Diceros bicornis minor: one gene and its partners. The protein of the gene in region 1 interacts with the protein of each later gene in a pairwise test. Links are inferred from orthologs where the notes say so. Each region holds a gene or a part of one and is shown in the gene's direction. Other genes may lie near its edges.

Region 1 (7,857 bases):
ACATGTGAAAAATTCAAGCAGTACAGAAATGTAAAAGATAAAGGTACAAGTCACTCTGTGTGATTGCTATGAGGAAAAAGAAGTTTTCTCATTCCACTGGGGCTGCCCAGCCTGGAAAATATGAATACGGGACTGCCAGCAGCCATCCTCCCCACAGCAAGAAGTGAAGTCACCTCCGAATGAAGCCAAGCACTGAGAAACAGACTGAGAGATGGGAGAAAGAAGGCCTGGGGAACTGTGTTCTGCTTTTTGGTCCCTTGAGACCCTAGTTTCAGCAGCTCATCCTCTGACTGTGAGAGCCACTTCAGTGTCCTTCCTGGTAAAGGAGCTGATAAACAGCCTTTCTGCCTTCACTTTTAATCGAACAAGTCAGGACTAATAAAACCGGGCCAGCTGTTTTTTGGAATCAAATTATACTGCTTGTGCTATAATCCTATTCCAATGATCAATTAATTTTTCCAACAACCTCCTCGAAATGAGGTCCATTTGGCATGAAATGGGCTCGGTAAACCACTAAGGCCCCCTAAATAATCACTTTTTCTTCGTGGTCACAAATCCTCCTGGGAATAGGCATCAAGTTCTCCAGGGTATAGTGTCTGGAATACATATTTTTTTTCCTTTTATGAAACTCAAGACAGCAAGTAGTCGTATTTATTCAGCCTTATGTCATCTCCTCCATCATTTTCTCAAAGATCCATAAGAAAATCTAAATCTATGGATTTGGGGGTCATAATCTAAAGCACTTTCAGTACACTGGGATATAACTCTTCTGGGTCTGAAGATTTTTAACCCATTTAAGGCAATTTCGTGCTTTCTACCGCTGTACCCGTCTTAGTCTTAATTTCCTCTTACTGCTATTTTCCTTATTCATTCAAGGTTGAGAATCACTTTCTTTGATAGACAAAATGCAAGCAAAACAGACATTGGGTATTCTTGTTTCCTTTCAGTTGTCTGATCACATCATATCATATGGTCCCAGGCAATGGGATTATCTCTCCCTTTTTCTTCTAGCTCTTAATATTGAGCATTGAAAATACTCCCTCCTCCGATAAAAAATAAACCCCCCTTTTGTTATTAAACCTCGGTGTATTATGTGCTGTAGACTTCCTGAATCTCCTCTTTCACATCTGTGGCCCCTTTTTATACTTTCTTTTGTTATGTGTTCCTCCTACTCTAAACTCCTGCCCTTTAACATCCTAATTTCATTGGGTATTGGCTTCCTTGAATGCATCTCTTCTTTCTTCCTCATCCAGATCACTGGAGTTTGTAGGTCAAAATCTGGTTCTAAGCACCTCCTACTCCTCTGAAACCATATCCCTTTTTATAGTCTCTACTATGCCCTGGTGGTCCAGTAGTTAAGATTTGGTGCTCTCACCACAGTGGCCTGGGCCTGGGTTTGCTTCCCAGTCAGGGAACACCACCACCCGTCTGTTGGTTGTCATAATGTGGCAGCTGCGTATTACTATGATGCTGAAAGCTATGCCACTGGGATTTCAAATATCAGCAGAGGGTGCTGGCCCGGTGGCATAGTGGTTAAGTGCGCATGCTCCGCTTTGGTTGCCCAAGGGTTCGCAGGTTCAGATCCCAGGTGCGCACTGATGCACCGCTAGTCAAGCCATGCTGTGCCGGTGTCCCATATAAAGTAGAGGAAGATTAACCAGGGCCAATCTTCCTGGGCAAAAAGAGGAGGATTGGCATCAGATACTAGCTCAGTGCTGGTCTTCCTCACACACACACACACAAAAATACCAGCAGAGTCACCCATGGTGGGCAGGTTTCAGCAGAGTTTTCAGACTAAGAGAGACAAAGAAGAAGAACCTGGCCACGAAAACCCTATGAATAGCAGTAGAGCATTGCCTGACCCACCTGGAATGTGAGAGGATGGAACAAAACGACCAGGTAGGGTGCCACTCTGCTGAACACAGGGTCACTAGGAGTCACAATCGACTCCATGGCACTAACAACAACACAACCATGAAGTCATATGAATATTTAAAATATGATCTATTTTTTTCAATTTAAAAAGTAATTCCTATTTATAAGAGAAAGTTTAAAGCATAAAGAAAGCACATTATGGCAGAGACTGCTGGCTGCCCTGTACCCCCTTCTCTATTGCTTGCCCCGCAACTCCAGACCACCTCCACCCTGGGTAAACCAGTGAACTTCTCTGCTATCTGGGAGCCAACCCATGCCTTCTCCAACGAGGTCCAAACCGCTTTCATATTTGCCCTTTTTTGTTTTTTTTTTGGAGAGGTACATATATAGGTGTTTTTTTGTTTTTTGTTTTTTGTGAGGAAGATCAGCCCTGAGCTAACATCCATGCCAATCCTCCTCTTTTTGCTGAGGAAGACTGGCCCTGGGCTAACATCTGTGCCCATCTTCCTCCACTTTATATGGGACGCCGCCACAGCATGGCCTGACAAGCGGTGCATAGGTGCGCACCCAGGATCCGAACCTGGGCCCCCAGCAGCCGAGCGTGTGCACTTAACTGCTACAACACGGGGCCGGCCCAGTACATATATAGTTTTATCAAGCTTTCTTTATTTTTATTGTGGTAACATTGGTTTATAACATTGTGTAAATTTCAGGTTTACATCATTATACTTCTATTTCTGCATAGATTACATCATGTTCACCATCCAAAGACTAATTGCAATCCATCGCAAATACACATGTTCCTAATCATCCCTTTTGCCCTCCTCCCTCCTTCCTTCCCCTCTGGTAACCACCAATCCAATCTTTGTATCTATGTATTTGTTTGTTGTTGTTTTTATCTTCTACTTATGAGTGAGGTCATATGGTATTTCACCTTCTCCCTCTGACTTATTTCGCTTAGCATAATACTCACAATGTCCATCCATGTTGTCACAAATGGCTAGATTTCATCGTTTCTTATGGCTGAGTAGTATTCCGTTGTGTATATATACCACATCATCTTTATCCATTCGTCCCTTGATGGGCATTTAGGTTGCTTCCAAGTCTTGAATAATGCTGCAATGAACACAGGGCTGCATGTATCTTTATGCATTCGTGTTTTCATGTTCTTTGGATAAATACCCAGCAATGGAATAGCTGGCTCATATGGTAGTTCTATCCTTAATTTGTTGAGGACTCTCTATACTGTTTTCCATAGTGGCTGCACCAGTTTGCACTCCCACCAGCAGTGTATGAGAGTTCCCTTCTCTCCACATCCTCTCCAACACATGTTGTTTCCTGTCTTGTTAATTATAGCCATTCTCATTGTAGTTTTGATTTGCATTTCCCTGATAGTTAATGATGTTGAACATCTTTTCATGTGCCTGTTGGCCACCTGTATATCTTCTTGGGAGAAATGTCTATTCAGGTCTTTTGCTTGTTTTTTAATTGGGTTGTTAAGTTTTTTTGTTGTTGATAAATTTGTCCTTCTTAAGTACTCTTCACCAGCCCTAGGTACCATATAGAGTTTCCTTATATCTTATAGCTACACTTATATCATAGTTACTTCTTTTGTTTTGTTTTGTTTTTGCTGAGGAAGAGTCTCCCTGAAGTAACATCTGTTGCTGATCTTCCTCTTTTTTTGCTTGAGGAAGATCCCTGCTGGGAACCCAACCCAGGCCAGGGAAGCAAAGGATGCCAAACTTAACCAACAGGCCACGGAGCCACTTGGCTGGCCCCTATCATAGTCAACCCCATGTGGAAGTGTGTATTCAGAGCTGAGATGCAATAAATCGATAACCAACACGAGGATTTATGCTCAGTCTTTAGGATTTATGTACTTTAGAACTCACGAGACTGAAGAGATCTGTAGACAGCCTATAAACCAACCTAAGAATTTCAGTTTTTATAATGGGAAGTACCCTGATCAGCTATATATGACCTTTGCAAATATAGGCAATTCAGAAGGCTATAAAGTGAAAGTCCTCCATACCATTCATTCACCAGAAATAAACACTGTTTTAACAATTTGGTGTCCTTCCTCCCAGACTGCCAGCAAATAAACAAATACATGATTAACACAAAATGGATACCACGCGACTCTTTTTCAACTTTTTTTTACTTACTATATCAAGGAAACAACGTATCTTTCTGAGCCAGTACGTACAATTTTCCTATTTAAAAAAATGTTACAATACGGCCAGATTTTGGGGTGATAGCCTTCTCTGAAACCGCCCTTGATGAGGAAGTATTTGGAATTAACCTCCCCGCTCCCTCCTCCCTCCCCAGCTCCCCGCGGACTCTAGGCTCCAAGCGCTCAAGCGTCGTTTTTCACACACAAGGTTCGCTTATTTCACTCGCACACGTCGAGTCTTCGGCGTCTCATCCGGTTCCTCCACAACTGGCAACCCGCCCCAGGCTGGAAGATGGGTCTCAGACTCCTCCGGGAGACTCACGAAGTGCCGTGCAGGGTCCAAGGGCTTACCAACTCCAAGCCCTCCCCTGACATTTCTCCAAGCCACCTGCCACTGACCTCTCATCTCCCCCAGCCGCCCGGACCCTCCCGGTTACCGACACCCCTAGCACTGCCGGCCCCGCCTCAGCAGGCACCAGCGCCGCCCCGCCCCTGACTCCACCCACCTCGCCGGGCTCCGCCTACTCGAAACACGCGGTCCTCCTGGTCCCGGGCTCCGCCCACTGGGAACTCACGCCGCTCACCCACCCCAGATCCGCCCACTTCGCCCTGGCTCCACCCTTCCGGAACCTGCGCGGTGCGTCCCGCCCAGGCTCCGCCCTCCGGAATTTGCACCGCCCGCCAGGGCCTCGCGCGCGGGGAAATGCGCCGTTCGCCCTGCCCCGGCCCCGCCTACCCCGGGAACTGCAGCAGCGGCCACCCCCCCAGGCTCCGCCCACTCCGCACCGAGAACCCGCGCGGGCTGCTGTACGCTGGCTCCTCCCCGAGGCCGGCCAGGGGGCTGTTCCAGTCGGTCTGCCTTTAGCGGGTGCCCCGACCCAAGCTAGCCCGCCATGGAGGGGGGTGTCTCCGCTGCTGCAGCCGCCCACTACCAGCCGGCCAGCCCCCCGCGGGACGCCTGTGTCTACAACAGCTGCTACTGGTGAGGGGGCGCGGGCGCAGCCCCCGCATCTCCCGGGCTCCCTCGGCCGCGCTGTCGCAGCCGGGCCCCGCCTCTTCCCGGCCCCTCCCCGGGGGCGCTCGGGGCCTCGACTGGCTGGTTTGCGGTTTGAGGGGAGGAGGGAGCGGGAATTGCAGCTCTCGCGTCTGGAGCAGAGCGTGGGCATTTGGATTGGGGGGCGGATTCGCCAGGCGTGGTAGGGTCGGTGGTGCATTACTTCTGCCTGGCGCTTTTGTCTGGGACGTTTCTCAGCAGATCTCAGCGCTTGGGGGCCAGGAAGGGGAGTTGGAGGCCGAGGGTGGAGCGCGGAGAGCCTTCGGAAATTAACTCTGTTGCAGCCTGTGTGGTTTCACATTGATGTGAAGGTCATTTTAATTTTGAAAAAGAATGGGGGCACGGAGATTTTGCAGTAACTTTGCCAAGGTCACCCAGCTAGGAGCAGCCAGGAATCCAGTTCGGGACCTCTTGTACCAGAAACCGTGTTAACCACTATGCTGTCATTATGATAAAGGTTACACTTAGACATCACTTGCTGTATGCCAAGCACTGTTCTGAGTGGTTTGTGTAAACTAATTATTTGAACCACAGGAGCCCCTAGGAGGTAGGACTACTGTTATCTACCTTTTCAAGATGAGAACACTGAAGCACAGAGGGGTGCAAGTAATTTGCCTACGGACATAGCTAGTGAGTGAAGGAATGGGGATTTACATGCAGAGTTTGGCTCTGGGGTCCACACACTGTACCCTTGGTTTAGGCTACGTCTGTGGCAGAGGCACCCCTCCTGCCTTGGTCCTTTTTGCTCCCACACCTACCCTTCTCTTGCCTGAGTATGACTTCTTCCCCAATTTCCAGTCCCTGCACAAGAAACCTTAGGGGCATCTAAAACTACTTTTCCCTCCTTCAGCTGGTCACCAAACCAGTGCCTCCAAGAGCTTAATATTTGTTCAGCTCTGACTGCATGTAAGGAAAGGCCTAGTGCCAAGTGCTTCCATGCGTGCCTGGGAGATAGGTTCTGTGACTATCATTATCCTCATTTTACTGATGAAATGACTGAACCACAGAGTGGCCTGTTGTTTGCCCAAGATCACACATCTAGCAAGTGGTAGTGCCGAAACCGGAACCTCCGCAATGCTCGAGTCCATGGTTCTGCCCTGCCTCTCACCTAAATCCTATTAGCTCGTGTCCCTAATGTCCATGCATTGTTTTATTCATTCATTCAATAAATGTTTATTAGGCACTTGGAGCGTGTGATGCATGATTCTAGGCACTAGGGATACAGCCGTGAACAACCAGACAGATTCCCTGGTAAGATCTCATGGTTCTTAGGTTTTGCAAACAAAAACATGTAAGCCATATTTGGGTGGTGTTAAGTGCTATGAGAAAAATAAACCAAGGTGAGGGATGGTGACTCATGCTGATTCATACAGTCATAGACAGAATGAATGGGCAGGGCTGTGTTCTAGTGAAACTACAGTATTAGGGTATTTAAGGAAGACATAGTTGATAAGGTGATGTTTGAACAGAGAGCTGAAGAGGAAGAGGGCGGGAGCTTTGTGGATATTGGAGGAAGATCATTCCAGGTGGGAGAAGCAGCAGGTGCAAAGGCTCTGAGAAGGAAGCGTGCGGTGAGTATTCTAGGAACACCAAGGAGGCTGGCACAGTTGGAGTGGAGCGATTGGTGGAAGAATGGTAGGAGATGAATGTCTCTTACATCATCTCCTTTTCATTCCTTCAGCCATAGGCCAGGCCCTCCTCAGCTGTCGGGGCCTGTTCCAGTCCTTCCTAACAGGCCTCCCTGCCTAGCTTGCCCTTATCCCGTCAGGTCTTTAACTTTAGCTGGCTTCACACTGCTCAAAGCCGTCCTAAATTTGAATGTGGTAGAGAATCACCTGGCAGCTTGTAAAACATGTAGCTCTTAGAGTCCCACCCCAGAAAGTCTGGATGTGGGAGCAGCACAGTGGAGGGGTCTGAATCTAGTCTGTTGATCACATTTCAAGGAGTACAGACATAGACAATAAAGTTTATCACCTGAGCATGGCAGGCCCTCCAAGATCTGGTCACCATCTGTTCCTCCAACCTCATTTTGAACCTGCCTTTGCTGCTCTACCCCAGGGTTTCTCAACCTTGGCTCTGTTGACCTTTGGAGCGTGTTAATTCTCTGTTGTGGGGGTCTCTTCTGTGCATTGTAGGATGTGTAGCAGCATCCCTTTCCTCTAGACACTAGAGGCCCATAGCACTCTCTCCCAATTTATGACAACCAAAAATGTCTCCAGACATTGCCAAATGTCACCTGGGCAGCAAAGTCACCTCTCATTGAGAACCAGTGCTCTGCCCTGTCTGAACACATCAGATAGGTACACCTTACTGTGTTTGCTCTTGTGGGTTCTTCTAACTTGAAATAAATGCCTCCTCTCTACTTCTGTTAGCTTCTGTCAGATGCTGCTTATCTTTGAGAGACGCCCAGCTTAAGGACAATAGTGGTAGCTAGTATTTGTGTCACACTGTGTGGTTTGCAGAGCACTCTGATTCTGTTGTAATTGTTTTGTATTTTTCAAACGTTTGTTGAGCACCTCCTGTGTGCCAGGGATCCTCCCCTTCTGCATACTTCTCTGACCTCAGCCCATCGCCAGTAACCCTTGCAGAATCTCAGCTCTAATGCTGCTTTGTTAGCCTTTCTGCTACCAATATAATCAACTGACAGGTTGAGACATTATCATCATCACCCCCCGACTTTTTTTTTTTTTTTTTTTTTTTTACCGGTTAAATGGGTACCAGAACTGACACCAAATCTGGGAACAGTGACTCCCAA
Region 2 (7,523 bases), on another chromosome or scaffold:
GATCTGAAACTGCGAACCCCAGGCCACTGAAGCAGAGCGTGCGAACTTAACCACTACACCATCGGGCCAGCCCCTCGACAGTTTTTTTGAGTTCTAGAATTTTAAGACGTTTCTCACGTCACTGTTCTATCTCCAAAGCTTCAATGACTTTCCATTAACTACAGCCAAAGGTCTCAGCTTCTTAGACTAGCATTCAAGGCTTGTCACTAAACTGGTAGTCTTTTTCCCCACTATTCCATAGCCCTCTATTAGGAGCATCTAATCAGTTTCTCAGATATTTTCTATTTTTTTCTGCTTGCATCCTTTGCTCTTGGCTATTTTCCTGATCTCCCAATACCTCCGGACTTATCTATTTACCATCTTCTTTTTGTGTATCCAACTTCTACCTCCTCTGTAAAATCTTTCCGCTACTCTAGCAAGGCAGCCCGGTGACCACTCTTGCTCTCTCCACAGTAGTTGGTATCATTAGAGCAGTTCACCAAACATTACTCCTATTATTTTGGGGGGTGACTATATTCGATTAGCAGCACTTTTTTTTTTTTTTAGCCAGGGGAGGGTGGAAAGCCAGTGATCCTGATGTCTAAGGTAGTAAATTCCCATTCTTGGAGGTTTCAAGCAGAGACTGAAACCCTTGCTAAAGTTTCTGGAGAAGGGATTGGTCCATATGCTCATTAACATTATTTTTAGCCTTAAATTCTTATTGTTTTCTGATTTTGTTTGCATAAACATTTAACTGTGGAAGCCTGGAGGGTTGTGTGTAGGGTTGGGAAAGGAAGGTTAGGCTGAGTCATGAAATTAGGATGGCTTCCAGGAAGAAATGAGACCTTCCTGTTTTGTATTGCCTATCTCCCTTCTCCAGCAACTGCCTGGGCAAGACACTCCCCACCTAGTAAGGCTTAAATCATCAACTTAAAAGAACCTGGCTCTAGGATATGGTATTGTAGAGTCTATCAATCAACAGCATTGGAATCATCAAACTCTCAGTCTCCATCCCGGACCTAGTGAGTCAGAATTTGCACTTTAACAAATCCCCAGGTGACTCGTTTTTACATAGAGGTTTTAGAAGCACTAGTATGGTGGACCCCAACCACTAAAAAGGAGCTTTGTAAATAATTCTATCAGACTGATATTTAACGCACCCCTCCCCCCCAAAAAGGAAAAAGAAAACTGGGAACCAACATCTATTTTTCTTTCATTCATGTCCCACATCCTATCCGTCATCATGACCCATGGGCTCAACCTTAAATACGTAGCTGGTAACTAGCCACTTGTCTCCCTTTCCTTGGTCACCACCTGTTCAAACCACCATCCTCTCCCGCTTGGACTACTACTGTAGTCTCCACCAGTTTTCCTGGTTCTGCTTAAAATTTTTTTAAATTTTGAAATAATTATAGATTCATGGGAAGTTGCAAAAAAAATATGTACAAGGAGGTCCTATGTACCCTTCACCTAGTGTCTCCTAATGGTAACATCTTGCATAACTATAGTACAATATCAAAACCAGGAAAGTGACATTGTTATCATCCACAGAATTTATTCAGATGTCTATAGTTTTACATGCACTCATTTGTGTGTGTGTGTGTGTATAGTTCTATGCAGCTTTGTCACGTGTAGATTGGCGTAACTACCACCACAATCAAGATACGGAACTATTCCATCACCAAAAGACTCCCTTGTGTTACCCCTTTAGGCACCACGCCCTCTCCCTCATCCCTAACTCCTGACAACCACTAATCTATTCTTCATTTCCATAATTTTGTTATTTCAAGAATGTTATATAAATGCAATAATACAGTATGTAATTTCTTGTAATTGGCTTTTTTCACTCAGCATAATTCTCTTGAGATCTATCCAAGTTGCTGCCTGTATCAATAGTTCTTTTCTTTTTTTATTGTTGAGTAGTGTTCCATGGTATGGATGGACCACAGTTTGCGTAAGCATTCATTTGATGGATGTTTGGGTTGTTTCCAGTTTTTAGCTATTGCAAATAAAGTTGCTATGAACATTTGTGCACAGGTTTTTGTGTGAATAGAACATAAGTCTTAATTTCTCTGGGATAAACGCCCAAGAGTGCAATTGCTGGGTCATATGGTAAGCACATGTTACGTTTTATAAGAAACTGCCAGACTTTTCCAGAGGGACTGTACCATTTTACATTCCCATCAGCATTGTATGACTGGATCCTGTTCCTCCTCCTCGACAGCATTTGCCGTTGTCACTATTTTTTCATTTCAGCCATTATAACAAGTGTGTAGTGATATCTCGTTGTGGTTTTAATTTGCATTTCCTTCGTGGCTAATGATGTTGAACATCTTTTCATGTGCTTATTTGTCATCTGCATATCCTTTTCAGTGAAATGTCTATTCCTGTCTTTTGCTCATTTTCTTATTGGATTTTTTTTTTTTTACTGTTGAGTTGTGAGAGTTCTTTATATATTCTAGATACAAGGCTTTTGTTGGATATGTGGTTTGTAAATATTTTCTCCCACTTTGTAGCTTGTTTTTTCATCCTCTTCACAGGGTCTTTCAAAGAACAAAAGTTTTTAATTTTGATAAGGTCCAATTTATCAACTTTTTCCTTTTTAATGGATTGTGCTTTGGGCGGCAAGTCTAAAAACTCTTTGCCTAGCTCTCAAAAAAGATTTTTTTCTTTTTTTTTTTATAATTATTTTTATTTATTTATTCCTCCAGAGCCCCAGTAGATAATTGTATGTCATAGCTGCACATCCTTCTAGTTGCTGTATGTGGGACACGGCTACAGGCTGGAGAAGCGGTGCGTCAGTGTGCGCCCAGGATCTGAACCCGGGCCGCCAGTAGCAGAGCGCACACACTTAATCGCTAAGCCACGGGGCTGGCCCTTCTTTTTTTAATTGAGATATAATTAACATATAGCATTATATTAGTTTCAGGTGTACAACATAATGATTCGATGTTTGTATATATTGCTAAATGATCACCACAAAAAGTCTAGCTAACAGCCATCACTACACATAGTTACAAATTTTTTGTGCGTGTGTGAGGAAGATTAGCCCTGAGCAAACATCAGATGCCAATCCTCCTCTTTTTGCTGAGGAAGATTGGCCCTGGGCTAACATCCGTGCCCATCTTCCTCTACTTTATATGGGACGCCGCCACAGTGTGGCTTGACAAGCGGTGTGTCGGTGCGCAACTGGGTGCGCCCCCAGGATCCGAACTGGAGAACCCAGGCCGCTGAAGCGGAGCACCTGCACTGCGCCACCGGCAGGCCCCTACAAATTGTTTTTTGTGATGAGAGTGTTTAAGATCTACTCTCTTAGCAACTTTCAAATATACAATACAGTACTGAAGTTTTTTTCCTAAACATTTTATACTTTTATATTTTACATTTAAGTTTATGATCCATTTTGAGTGAATTTTTGTTTAAGGTAGGAGGTTTAGGAGGAGGTTCTCTTTTTTTGGCCTATAGATGTCCAACTGCTCCAGCACCATTTGTTGAAAAGACTTCTGATTCCACTTTTGTACCTTATTCCATCCATTCCTCATACAGCAGTCAGAATGACTTTTTTTTTTTTTTTTTTGTGAGGAGATCAGCCCTGTGCTAACATCCGCCAATCCTCCTCTTTTTTTGCTGAGGAAGACGGCCCTGGGCTAACATCTGTGCCCATCTTCCTCCACTTTATATGGGACGCCGCCACAGCATGGCTTGCCAAGCAGTGCGTTGGTGCGCGCCCGGGATCCGAACCAGCGAACCCCGGGCCGCCGCAGCGGAGCGCGCGCACTTAACCGCTTGCGCCACCGGGCCGGCCCCCAGAATGACTTTTTTAAATGTGTATCAGAGGATGTCATGCCCTGTTCAAAACCCTCCAGTGGCTTCCCACCCCAACATAATCCGGCCCCTCTGCAACCGCATTTTCTGCCACCCCTTGCCCCTGTAATTCTCGGCCTCAGACAACCAGCGGACTTGCTCCCTCACTTCATGCTGGTCTGTTCTATTGTCACTTCGTCAGAGATTTCCCAGCCAATCTTGCAAAGTAGTTTACTCCTTCAATCTTTCCCCCTTGCCTTGCTTTTTTTTAGCAGCATCTACATAATGCACTACATTACGTATTGATTTGCTCGTTTGTTTATTGTTTGCCCCCATTCCCAACCCCACCAGATGCCACAGAAGAGTTTACTGCTATAGCCCCAGACCCTGGACTACGGCCTGGCACCGAGTAAGTACTCAATTAAGAACTCATTGCTTGACAGGCTGGAAAGAATGAGGACACGTCAAGCGAGAGCGACTTGTCTCCTTTCAGGTCAGGCGCTCGCGAGCGCCACCTCTCGGGAAGCCAATTTGCTGGAGAACGAAGGAAGTGAGTCACAGAATCTTAAAAAACAGGGAGCTTGCCGGAAGAGCATGCAAGACCAGGGCCGGAAGTTAAACATGGGGCAGTTGCTCCCTAGAATGACAGCCGGCTCACAGGAGGAAGCGCGGGCGAGTGGTGTTTTGCAAAAGGCGCTCTCCGGCAGCCGATCTGGGCAGAGGCGTTCCGCGCGTCCGGCTGCCGGCAACCACGTGGGGCCGGGCAGGTTTCCGGTGCCGGGGGCAGCAGGCGGAGGTGAATCCCGAGCAGCTGGAGGGGTGAGAGGGGATCGGGTTCTGAGAGGAGAGGGAGAGGAGTGGGGTCGGGGGAGGGGGAAGTGGAGAGGTCGGGTGAGTTCTGCTCCGAGAGGTGGGAGGGGATCGGATGGGAGGGCAGGGCGGGAGCGCCTGCGGCAGGTGCCAGCCTGTCAGCGCACGTCCCGCGCCACGTGGACTCGCCTTTGTCCTGGCTGCCTTTCCCATCAGGCCGCAAGGACAGGAGTGGTGCCTTATTTGTCTCTGTCCTCTGCAGTGCTGGGCACGGAGGTGGTGCTCAGTAAGTGCTTGCAGAATGAATGACAGATGTGTGTGCCGGCGTGGGTGTGGAGGGACGTTGATAGGGACAATTTCTGGCTCCTAGCCCCGTTTCCTCCTGGGGAATCCATGCTGTTTCCAGCTTCCATCGGGAGTTCTCCGCCACTCCTGGGGCTTTGCCTCTTTTTCTTCGAGGGGCAGGGTCAAGATCATTGAAGACTTTTTTTTTGCTCTTATTGAGTGCTAGGCCCTGTGGCTTGGTACCAGGGACAGAGAGAGGAGTAAACCATCCCTGTTCAGTAGTCTCCCCTTAACCACGGATTCGCTTTCCGAGGTTTCAGTGACCCGCGGTCAACCTCCGTCTGAAAATATTACATGGAAAATTCCAGAAATAGACAATTCATAAGATTTAAATTGCCCGCCCTTCTAAGTAGCGTGGTGAAATCTCGCGCTGTCCTGCCGCGATGTGAATCCTCCTTTTGTCCAGCGGACCCACGCTGTAATATGCTACCCGCATTAGTCACTTAGTGGCCCTCTCGGTTATCAGATCGACTGAGGCGGCATCGGGTGCTTGAGTTCAAGTAACACTTATTTTACTTAATGATGGCCCCAAAGCGCAAGAATAGCGGCGTTGGCAATTCGAATGCGCCAAAGAGAAGCCGAAAAGTGCTTCCTTTAAGTGAAAAGGTGAAAGTTCTGGACTTAATAAGGAAAGAAAAAAAATCGTATGCCGAGGTTGCTAAGATCTACGGTAAGAACGAATCTTCCATCCGTGAAATCGTGAAGAAGGAAAAAGAAATTCGGGCTAGTTTTGCTGTCGCACCTCAAACTGCAAAAGTGACGGCCACAGTGCGTGGGAAATGCTTAGTTAAGATGGAAAAGGCTTTAAGTTTGTGGGTGGAAGACATGAACAGGAAATGTGTTCCGCTGGATGGCAACATGTTGCGCCAGAAAGCGTTGAGCCTGTACGAAGACTTCAGCAAGGGATCCCCTGAAACAAGTGAGAACAAGACATTTACTGCGAGTAAGGGATGGTTACACAGATTCAGGACTAGGTTTGGACTGAGAAATATAAAAATTACTGGAGAGGCTGCGCCTGCTGATGAAGAAGCCGCTGCCACGCTTCCGGCAGAGTTGAAGAAGCTGATTAAGCAGCAAGGATACCAGCCCAAGCAAGTCTTCAATTGCGATGAAACCCGGCTCTTCTGTGCAGTACAGTACGATAAGATATTTAGAGCGACAGACCACGTTCACATAACTTTTACTGCAGTATATTGTTATAATTGTTCTATTTTCTTATTAGTTATGGTTGTTAATCTCTTAGTGTGCCTAACTTATCAAACTTTAGCGTAAGTATGTATACATAGGACAAAGCATAGTATACATAGGCATACCTCGTTTTATTGCACTTTGTTTTATTTATGTGTTTTTTACAAGACCCTCCACCAGCAAAAAGATTACGACTCACCGGAGGCTCAGATGATGGTTAGCATCTTTTGGCCATAAAGTATTTTTTTGATTGAGGTGTATACATTGCTTTTTTAGACATAATGCTATTGCACACTTAATAGACTACAGTATAGTGTAAACATAACTTTTATATGCGTTAGGAAACCAAAAAATTCCCGTGGCTCGCTTTATTGCAATTTTTGCTTTGTTGCCGTGGTCTGGGACTGAAGCTGCAGTATCTTGGAGGTATGCCTGTATATTGTTTGGTACTATCCTCGGTTTCAGGCATCCATTGGGGGTCTCGGAACATATCTCCCGCAGATAAGGGGAGGCTACCTGCATACAGGCTGTAGACCAGTGGGGAGACAGACACACAAACACAACATTCAAATATATTAAGGTGCTATAATAAGAGGTTAACAACTGAAGTCCAGGATGGTGGAGCCAGGAGGTGGTGCTGCTCTCCACATTAGGGACTGTCTTTCAAGGTGAGGGCCTCCTTTCTCATCTGGTGGAGACAGAGCAGGTCGTGAACCCAGTCTTCTTTGTAAAAGGAAAGGTCTGGAATAGACGGTCTCTAGATTTCCTTCCACCATGATGTTCTAGATCAGATATTATTGACGGCTCTAGTTCACAATCCTCCATTTATTAGTCAGATTATTCATTACATCTTATGATGTGGCGTAAATTGCATAGGGCTTTTGGTCCATGCAAAATTGGAAATAGGGATTTTGGTCCTCATTCTGGTGTTCTGAATCTGTTTCCTCATTTGTAAAACGAAGGGGAAATCATCTCTAAAACCCCTTTTGGTTCTAATACCATGACTGGCAGTAGATCAAACTGTACTTCATACTGCCTCGTACCAGATGTCACTGTCACATTATCAGTGCAGTTTTCCTCATCTGGATAACTGAGAAGATAGTGTCTTTTTTTAAAATCTCCTACTGGGGTTCTGCCACAGTATTGAGTACACAGCAGATGCTCAATAGAAGCTCATTAAGTCAAATGGGTTAGAAATAACTAGCCCCTGCTCTTGGACCCTTCCCCACTCTGGGATATGGGTTCATAAATGCAGGGCCTGAGGAGGAACTGGGTTTTTACTAGAGAGACTTGGAGTTGACGTGACAGATTTAAACCAGCTTTGTGGGATAATCTGCTTGAGGGATAGTGAGGTAGGCAGGATATTCAGTGCTGTTTCTTTCCCCCACCTGTCTGTC
Region 3 (7,997 bases), on another chromosome or scaffold:
GTGGGACGCGGCCTCAGCATGGCCAGAGAAGCGGTGCGTTGGTGCGCGCCCGGGATCCGAACCTGGGCCACCAGCAGCAGAGCGCGCGCACTTAACCGCCAAGCCACGGGGCCGGCCCAAAAGTAAAACTTTAAAACTTTGCAGAAAATTTCTTCATACAAATCCCCTTATGGATCCTTGTGAGTGTCTCTGTTTACCTAGGGCTGGGAACACTGAATCTCAAGGTAAATGCATACCTAATTTCCCTAAATCCTGCTAGATTGCTCTCCAGGAAGCTGTACTAGTCTGAAACCCCAGCAGCAGCACGTGAGTGTTCCAGTCTCCCCTCATCTTTGCCTGCACTTGTCGTCATCCTAGTTTTTTTTCTTTTTGGCATTCTGATAGGTGTAAAGTGACTCATTGTGTTATTTTCATTTCTGTGACTATAAGGAAATTGGGCAAATACTTCCTGCCATTTGGGTTCCCCCTTCTATAAATTGCCCATTCATATCCTTTGTCCATCTCTTTATAGAGTTTCCTGTCTGTGTCTTGTTGATTTGCTGTCAATTTCTTACATAATCACTACGCTATTCGTTTGTTATTGTTCTAGCCATCGAAATTTTTTTTTCAGTTTTTTTAACCTTCTGCTAGCTTTGTCTATGAAGTCCTTGACTGAACAAAACTCCTTAATTTTTATGTGGCCAAGTTCGAAGACTTGAAAATTTGTAGAGAAGTTCTTTCCAGCCCTATTTCTTCCGTAAAATACCTGTTCAAGCCTTTTGCTTACTATTCTATTGAGATGTTTGTCTTTTTCTTACTGATTTTAGGAATTCTTGATGTATTATGGATCCTAATCCCTCTAGGGAGTGTTAACTCCCTGACATTTCTGGCCTCCCCTATGCATGGGCTAAGCACACTCCTGTGCCCAGGGTATGCATAAGGTAGGAAGCCATGAGTATGTCCAGGATCTATCCACTAAAGCTGGAGGTGGCCTCTGGGGTGGCTAAGGGGGTAGATGAGGCACTGACAGCATCTGCTATACCCACTGGATTAGTTCCCTGGGACCGCCATAACAAAGTACCACAAACTGGGTGGCTTAAAACAACAGAAATTTCTTCTCTCACAGTCCTAGATTCTGGAAATCCAAAATCAAGGTGTCAGCAGGGTTGGTTCCTTTCGAGTCTGTAAGGGAAAATCTGTTCCATGTCTCTCTCCTACCTTCTGGTAATGGCCATCAATCTTTGGCATTCCTTGGCTTGTAGATGCCTTACTGCAGTCTCTGCCTCCATCTACACATGGTAATCTCCCTGTGTCTCTGTGTCTTCCATGACCATCTTCTTGTGAGGACACCAGTCATATTGGATTAGGGGCCCACCATATTCCAGTATGGCCTCATCTTAACCAATTATACCGGCAATGATCTTATTTCCAAATAAGGTCACATTCTGAGGTACTGGAGGTTAGGACTTCAACATATCTTTTTTTGGGGGGGGGCATGATTCAACCCATAACACCCACATTGTCCACTCTGAACATCCAGCCATCATTTAGGACTCCTCTTAGCCTCCTGTCATCTGGGAAGCTTTCTCCAGCCCACCTCCCCACCGCTCCCTCCAGATAATTAGTTATTCAGTATTGTCACAGGACCCAGTACCTAATTGTGTGTTATAGTGTTTTATACCTATCTATTGACTTGCCTGTCTCCTTCACTAGAGTATGAGCTCCTCAAAGGCAGGTACCAAGTCTCATTCAACTGATTCTCTAGTGCCCTGCACAGGGCCTGGCACACAGTTTTCATTATAATAGGAGCTAATACTTGTTGAGCACTTACCACGTGCCGGTCACTGTGCTAAGAGCTTTACATATAACATCTCACTCAATTTTTACAACAATCCTAGGAAGTAGTATTTTAGCCTAGATGCCATAGAGCTGACAGAAACAAAACTTAAAAAAGTTTAAGCAAGAAGTGAATTACTGGCTCAATAGAAGGAAAGTCTAGAAGCATGCCTCAGGCATGGCTGGATCCAGGCACTCAGAGGGAAATCAGGGTTCTTTCCCTCCACCTCTCACCTCTGCCTCTCTCCACCTGGCTTCACTTTGCAAGCAGGCTCACTCTACCCGGAGGGCAAGCTGGCCGTCAGCAATAGTCACATCCTCTTAGCTTAGCCACCACAGTGGGAGAAACCAACATTCCCAGCAGAAAGGTGAGGTCTCTGATGGGCCATCCTGTGTCAACTGCCTAGGCCCACCAGGGAGTGGAAGCACAGTGACTGGCAGCCCATCAGGAGGTCTCCCCTAAAGGGGACGAAATAAAAGAAATGAGAAACCTTCTCGAGCAGAGTAAGGCTACGGTCACCATAAGCCACCCTAGGTGGGTCCTGGAGTTGTCTCACTGTATAAATGAGGAAAGCAGGGCACAGAGCGATGAGCTACCTTGCCTAGGTACCCAGCTGGTAATAAGAGGCAGAAGGAGGATTTGCCAGTCCGTTATACCCGCTCCGCATGAGTTCAGGGATGGACAAGAGTCCAGGATTCGGATGGAGGCAGACAAACCCGGGTTTGAGATCCATTTCTGATCCCCATGAGCTCAGTGTCCTCATCAGTAAAACGCAGGCAATAATATGGCCAGTGTGTACCTTGTGGTAAGGATTACATGAAATAATTCAAGTCCTGCATTTAGCACAGGGCCTGGCACATGGAAAGAGCTAAAGCAGAGTTAGCTATTATTATGAGTAACTATTCATTGAATGAATGAGTGGGTGGTATCTGAGCTCTAACACAGGGACTCTGGGTGGTTCTCTTCACAGAGGAAAGGCCTAGGGGATGGGGGTGGGGGAACTTTGGGCCCTTGACAATCTCCACCACCACTCAAAATACCTTCCTTGGATATTCCTATTCTTTGAGTTAATTCTTTGGGCAATTAATTTCTCTCAATTTTATATAAAGTGGAGATTAAAGCATGTTTAGAAAATTCTGTTAATATTATTGATCTATAACTTAGCTCTAAGAAAGTCTCCAGGCCCATGCTCCCTTTCCATCCAGATGGCCACCCCAAGCCCCTTCTATAAGGAAATCTAGAGCTACTGCTGGCTCCCAAGCTCCATACAGCGGAGTTTGCAATGGGCGCTGTCCCCATTTATTACCATGTGCCGGGAAAGAACTTCAAAGGTGCCAACGGCCATCATAATTAGCCTGGAAGTCATCCCAGTTTTCCTGTAACTGGGGAGCCAAGGAGTCCAGCCCTGGGTCTGGGCAGAGCTGGGGTGAGTCAAGACAGGGCAGGAACAGGCCTGGCAGGCCAGCAGGGCACCACACCCCTTTTCCCAGTTGTAGTTATACTTGGCCACCAGAAGCCTTAGAAGTATTCCCATGTTGAGTGGGTACACATGGTCCCAGGACATCCTTTGCTTTCTTTCCCTGGGGAAAGGGCATCTGGGCAGTGCAGGAATAGAGGAGACCGGGAGAGCATTCCCAGTGGTTTCTCTGCCTGCCCTGCCTCAGATCCAGGAAACTGCTCTAGATGCCAAAGGTGTAGATCCAGGAGGAAAATGCAATAGCAAGCAGGAGGGAACCAGCTGCTTCTCTGAGGGCTGGATGTGCAGAAAGGGGGTGGGGGAATTCTGAAGGGGGGAAGGGAGGGGAGGGGAGGAGGAAATGAGGCAAAGTGCCCAACTCTACAGTGGCCCAGCAGGGTCTCTACGTGGCTGAGAGCTCCAGGCCCAGGACACAGAGGGGCCAAGGTGCAGGACACAGGGATGCTGGGCTGCAAAGCACAGAGATGTCAGCATGCAGAACCTGGAGACGCGGCCTCATTTTCTGCCCCCTCCCCTACCGTTCCCCCTTCCCCTTCCTCACCCCCCATCCAAGCCCTCAGAGAAGCCGCTGATTTACTCCTGCCTGCTGGGGGTCTGGGGACATTTGGACACCTCTGGACACTGTTCTGCCTTCCTATGTGATCTTAGCCAAATCATTTAATGACAATAACCCAATCCGCATGGAGCCACAAAGTGTGCTAACATCATGATGTCACAGGATCCTCCAACCATATGCATTGTATACACATTACCTCATTCGATCCTCGCAACAACTCTGTGAAATACCGTTAGTGCACCCACTTTACAGATGAGGAAACTGAGGCTTAGAGGGGTGGTATGACCTCCACAAGGTCATACGGCTAATAAGTGGCAGAACTGGAATTCAAACTAGGATCTACCAAACCCCCACACTCAAGCTCTTCTGTGATCTGAGGACGTAGCACAGAGATTAACGCTATCCCCACTGTAGAGACCAGGAAACTGGCTTAGAGAGGTCACGTAACTTGCCACCCATTACACATGTGGAAAATGGTGGAGCCAGGATGCAAACCCATTTCTTTTAGCACCAACCCAGTGTTCATTTTGCCAACAAAAATAGGAGAAGGCCCCGGTAGATGATCTCTGAAGTTCCCTCCAGCTGAGATACTTTTTAAGTTCTGTGTTGAGGCAGCGAGGAGTTGGAAGGAGAATGGGTGAAATAAGGAAGCTCCTCAATCTTATTGCTGCACTCACACTATGTGTCTCAAGAATGTGGCTGCCCCAGCCCCTCCCTTTCAGCCTCACTCCTTCCCTCAGTGACAGAGAGAAGAAGTCATTCAACAGAGAGTTTCAGCCCTTGGAGCTGGGACTTCCTAGACCTCATGCTGACCCGCCCAACAGCATCTCCTCTGAGGAGTGTGTGTCCACAGTCACCCCCAGCATGGTGGCACCCGTCCCCTGACCCACTCACCCATCAGTGAGGCAGCAGTGTGAGTGGTCCCAAGGGAGAGTGTGAAGCACACATCCTTCCATGCTGGACACACACTAGCTCAGCCTTACACACCACACCCTCTGACTCAGAACTACTGGACACTCCTCTCCCTGAGCGGGCCCCGCCCAGCATCCCCGCAGGCGGGCATCTGGCAGCCCCTCCGCAGGGACACACCCGGGGGGAGGAGCTGCCGTCTTAGTGGGGCCCAGCTCAGGCAGACGGCGAGCTTGTTTCCTCTCCTCCGCAGCCCAGGAACCGACATGGCCCAGGAGCGTCCCGCCTGCACCCTGGAGCCCGAGCAGGTCCAGCAGCTGCTGCTCTCCTCCCAGGAGGCCAAGAAGTCAGCCTACTGCCCCTACAGTCACTTCCCTGTGGGGGCCGCCCTCCTCACCCGGGACGGGAGGATCTTCTCGGGTAAGGGCTGGCGCCCGGGGGCCCCATCCCTGGCAGCCTGGATGGGGAAGTCAGAGGACAAGTGGACAAGTGGGAAGGACACACAGAAGGCACAGGCAGAGAAGAGAGCAGCTCTGTCCCCTCCTCCCTGAGCATCCCCTGTAACGCTGCCACTCACCCCTGCCCTGCCCACTGGCCCAGACTGCGGGATTGAAGGTGTAAAGGAGCCCCGAAAACTCATCTGCTGCTTAAATCTAGGGGCTTTCAATTCTTGGAGGACTGGGAAGCAAGGGTGGGATGAGGAAGCAAGCTGGAGGGGAGGCATCCGCAGTCCTGGTGTGCGGGGAGGGAGAGGGTTAATACTTTCTGAGCCCTCCTCTGTGTCTGGACCCTCTAAGGCTCCCACAAGTTCTATCAGCAAGTCCTCACCTCCGACCCACTGACCTAGGTGTTATGCCCATTTTTCAATGAAGAAACTGAGGCTCAGAGAGATGACATGACTTGCTGAAGGCCACACGGGGCGCTGGTGGTGGAAGCCAGGGCTGGGGTCCCCAAAACCCTGCTTTTTCCCGTCACCCACCATGCTAAGGGATGGAGAAAGCCCGGAATCCAGGTCAAGTGACTTGTTTGTGGGGTGCGGGCCTTGCAGAGGGTCTTGGAGGAAAGAAGCCAGGCTGGGTTTGGGTGACCAGCAATGAGTGCCAGCCTGGGGAGGGGGGGACAGGAATCCGAGTCAGCACAAATCTGTTCCTAAGCAACTTTTCTTTGGTTTGTTGGTTTTATAAAAAAGCTCACTTGGACAAAATTTCACACTTGTTTTTGCTAAGTTAAGGGGCATTCTATTTCAGGACAGTGGGGAACATGCTGTGGAGGTGGCAGGGAAGCCAAGCCCCTCCCCACGCCTCTCATTCCCACCACCACCCCAGAGCAGATGAGAATTGGCACAGAGGGACGGACGGGAGCACCGAGTCCTGCTGCCTAGAACTCCCCCTCTGCTTGGCAGCAGGTAGTTAAAGGAGCAAAGACTCACATGTGTGCATCGAATTGGTAACCCCCAGCACCCTGGGCCAGGTGTGAGCCACTCGCCCCCACCACCACTCAGCTGTGAGTCTGCTGCGGCCCCCGCCTCACCTTCTATAGCTCTCCTTGATGTTCATGTTATCTCTTGTCTTTTGAGGTTCTGTCAGTTTCATGAGTCACCCGGGTTTTAAACATCTTTGAGCAGGAGAAGGAACCTTGAGTGAGTCCTAATACATGAAAGGAACGTGCCTAATGTTACCCATCTAAGCCTTAGAACCCCGCAAGGTGGTTATTACATCCCCACTTTGCAGAGAAGGAAAGAGGCTCCAAGAGGTTAACTCGCAAGAACTGGGATTCAAACCCAGGGCTCCTCTGACTCCGAAGTCTGCTCCTCTGAGGGGAACAAAGGATCTCTGAGTCTCATGTGGAAGTTCAGGCTTGGCCTGGTGGCTCAGACAGGTATTAAACATTGCAACCCACGCTGCCCCACGGCTCCAGGGCCATGAACATGGAATCAGCTACTGATTCTTCCCAATGCCTCCACATCTCCTCCAGACGGTATACAGGAAGGGGCCCTGCCCATCCTTGCATTGATTCATTCATTCCACAAATATTTGCCGAGCACCAATTATGTGCTAGGTAACGTACCAGGTTCTGGGGATATCACAGCAGAAATGACATAGTCCCTGCCCTTAAGGAGGTCCCCTCCTCTTGCACAGGCCATAGCTCAAAGTGGGATCCTCAGCCAATGATTATAGGAGTGAATGAATGAGGTGAGCAGGAGTGAAGCCTATTTAAATTGCAGAGAAGGACCTGGTGTCCCCAGAGAAAGGGTTGTGCAATGTGGATTCAGGGAGGCCCTGTGAGATGGGGTGAAGCTCGGGAGTTAGAGGCTCCTGGGTTTGAATCCTGGTGCTGCTGTTTATCAGCTATGTGACCCTGGGCAAGACCCTTGACCCTTCTGAGTCTCAGCTTACACGTGAGCAAACGGAGGATCATTACGCCCGCTTTTCAGGATGGCTGTGAACAGAGCAGGTTTGCGTGGCCTGGCGTGGCAGCCAGGGTCCCCCCTGACGTTTGGAGCCTGTGCTGCATCAGTCACTGAAAATGCTGAGTCTCGTGCCTGGTTGTGAGGCTTTGTAGGAGCTAATGCCTATGAAGGGATTGGCACGGTTTCTGGCCCACAGTAAGACGGTCACATATGATGGCTGCTTCTACTTGGACGATGATGATGATGATGACGATGAGGGGGAAGCGGATCGTGGAGGCCTTTTGAAGGCCAAACAGAGACATTGAGATTTGATGAGGTAGGAAGTAGAGAGCCCAGGAACGTTACTAAGAAGAAGAGCAACGTGAAAGTGGTGTTTGAGGACAGTTAGTCTGACAGGTACTCAAGGAGCGCTGGGGCAGAGGGAAGAGTGTCAGGGGGACCATGTCTGTCTTGTTTGCTGACCTGTCCCCTGTGCCAGCGCATTTCCTGGCCTGTAATACATCCTCAGTTAAGCTTCGGTGAACGCGTGAATGAGCGGCTTGGACTAGAACAGTAGCAGGTGGAATGAAGAGCAAGGAAAGATCTCAGAGATATTGTGTGGGACAAATGGACCGGGCCTGGGATTGGCAGTATTAGAAATAAAGGAAAGGAATATGGTTCTAGGACTTCCAGTGAGGTGGGCCGGGGGAGTGATGAGGCACGGACCGAGGTGGGAAGCTGAAGGCAGAGCTGGATTATGCTGGGGGCATGATGGGCAGGGACCAACAGCAACATTCAGAGACACGATGGATTGAGCACTCACTAAGCACTCGGTATGGAAGATCTCTTG

The links.
Region 2: the proteins of NTAQ1 (region 1) and nucleoside diphosphate kinase A 1 interact in binary tests that used the Homo sapiens proteins (3 or more experiments, as listed by UniProt). The two-hybrid records come from large-scale screens. The link is inferred for Diceros bicornis minor from reciprocal best matches to the Homo sapiens genes NTAQ1 and NME1.
Region 3: the proteins of NTAQ1 (region 1) and CDA interact in binary tests that used the Homo sapiens proteins (3 or more experiments, as listed by UniProt). The two-hybrid records come from large-scale screens. The link is inferred for Diceros bicornis minor from reciprocal best matches to the Homo sapiens genes NTAQ1 and CDA.

What each region holds. Positions count from the first base shown.
Region 1 is NC_080760.1:38,988,571-38,996,427, forward strand, and holds the start of NTAQ1 (protein N-terminal glutamine amidohydrolase), read left to right. Parts: upstream 1-4,847; 5' UTR 4,848-4,941; coding exon 4,942-5,030; intron 5,031-7,857. UniProt on the Homo sapiens protein: Mediates the side-chain deamidation of N-terminal glutamine residues to glutamate, an important step in N-end rule pathway of protein degradation.
Region 2 is NC_080757.1:35,293,779-35,301,301, reverse strand, and holds the start of nucleoside diphosphate kinase A 1, read left to right. Parts: upstream 1-4,505; 5' UTR 4,506-4,602; intron 4,603-4,808; exon of another isoform or gene 4,809-4,879; intron 4,880-7,523. UniProt on the Homo sapiens protein: Major role in the synthesis of nucleoside triphosphates other than ATP. The ATP gamma phosphate is transferred to the NDP beta phosphate via a ping-pong mechanism, using a phosphorylated active-site intermediate.
Region 3 is NC_080752.1:37,612,306-37,620,302, forward strand, and holds the start of CDA (cytidine deaminase), read left to right. Parts: upstream 1-4,979; 5' UTR 4,980-5,024; coding exon 5,025-5,178; intron 5,179-7,997. UniProt on the Homo sapiens protein: This enzyme scavenges exogenous and endogenous cytidine and 2'-deoxycytidine for UMP synthesis.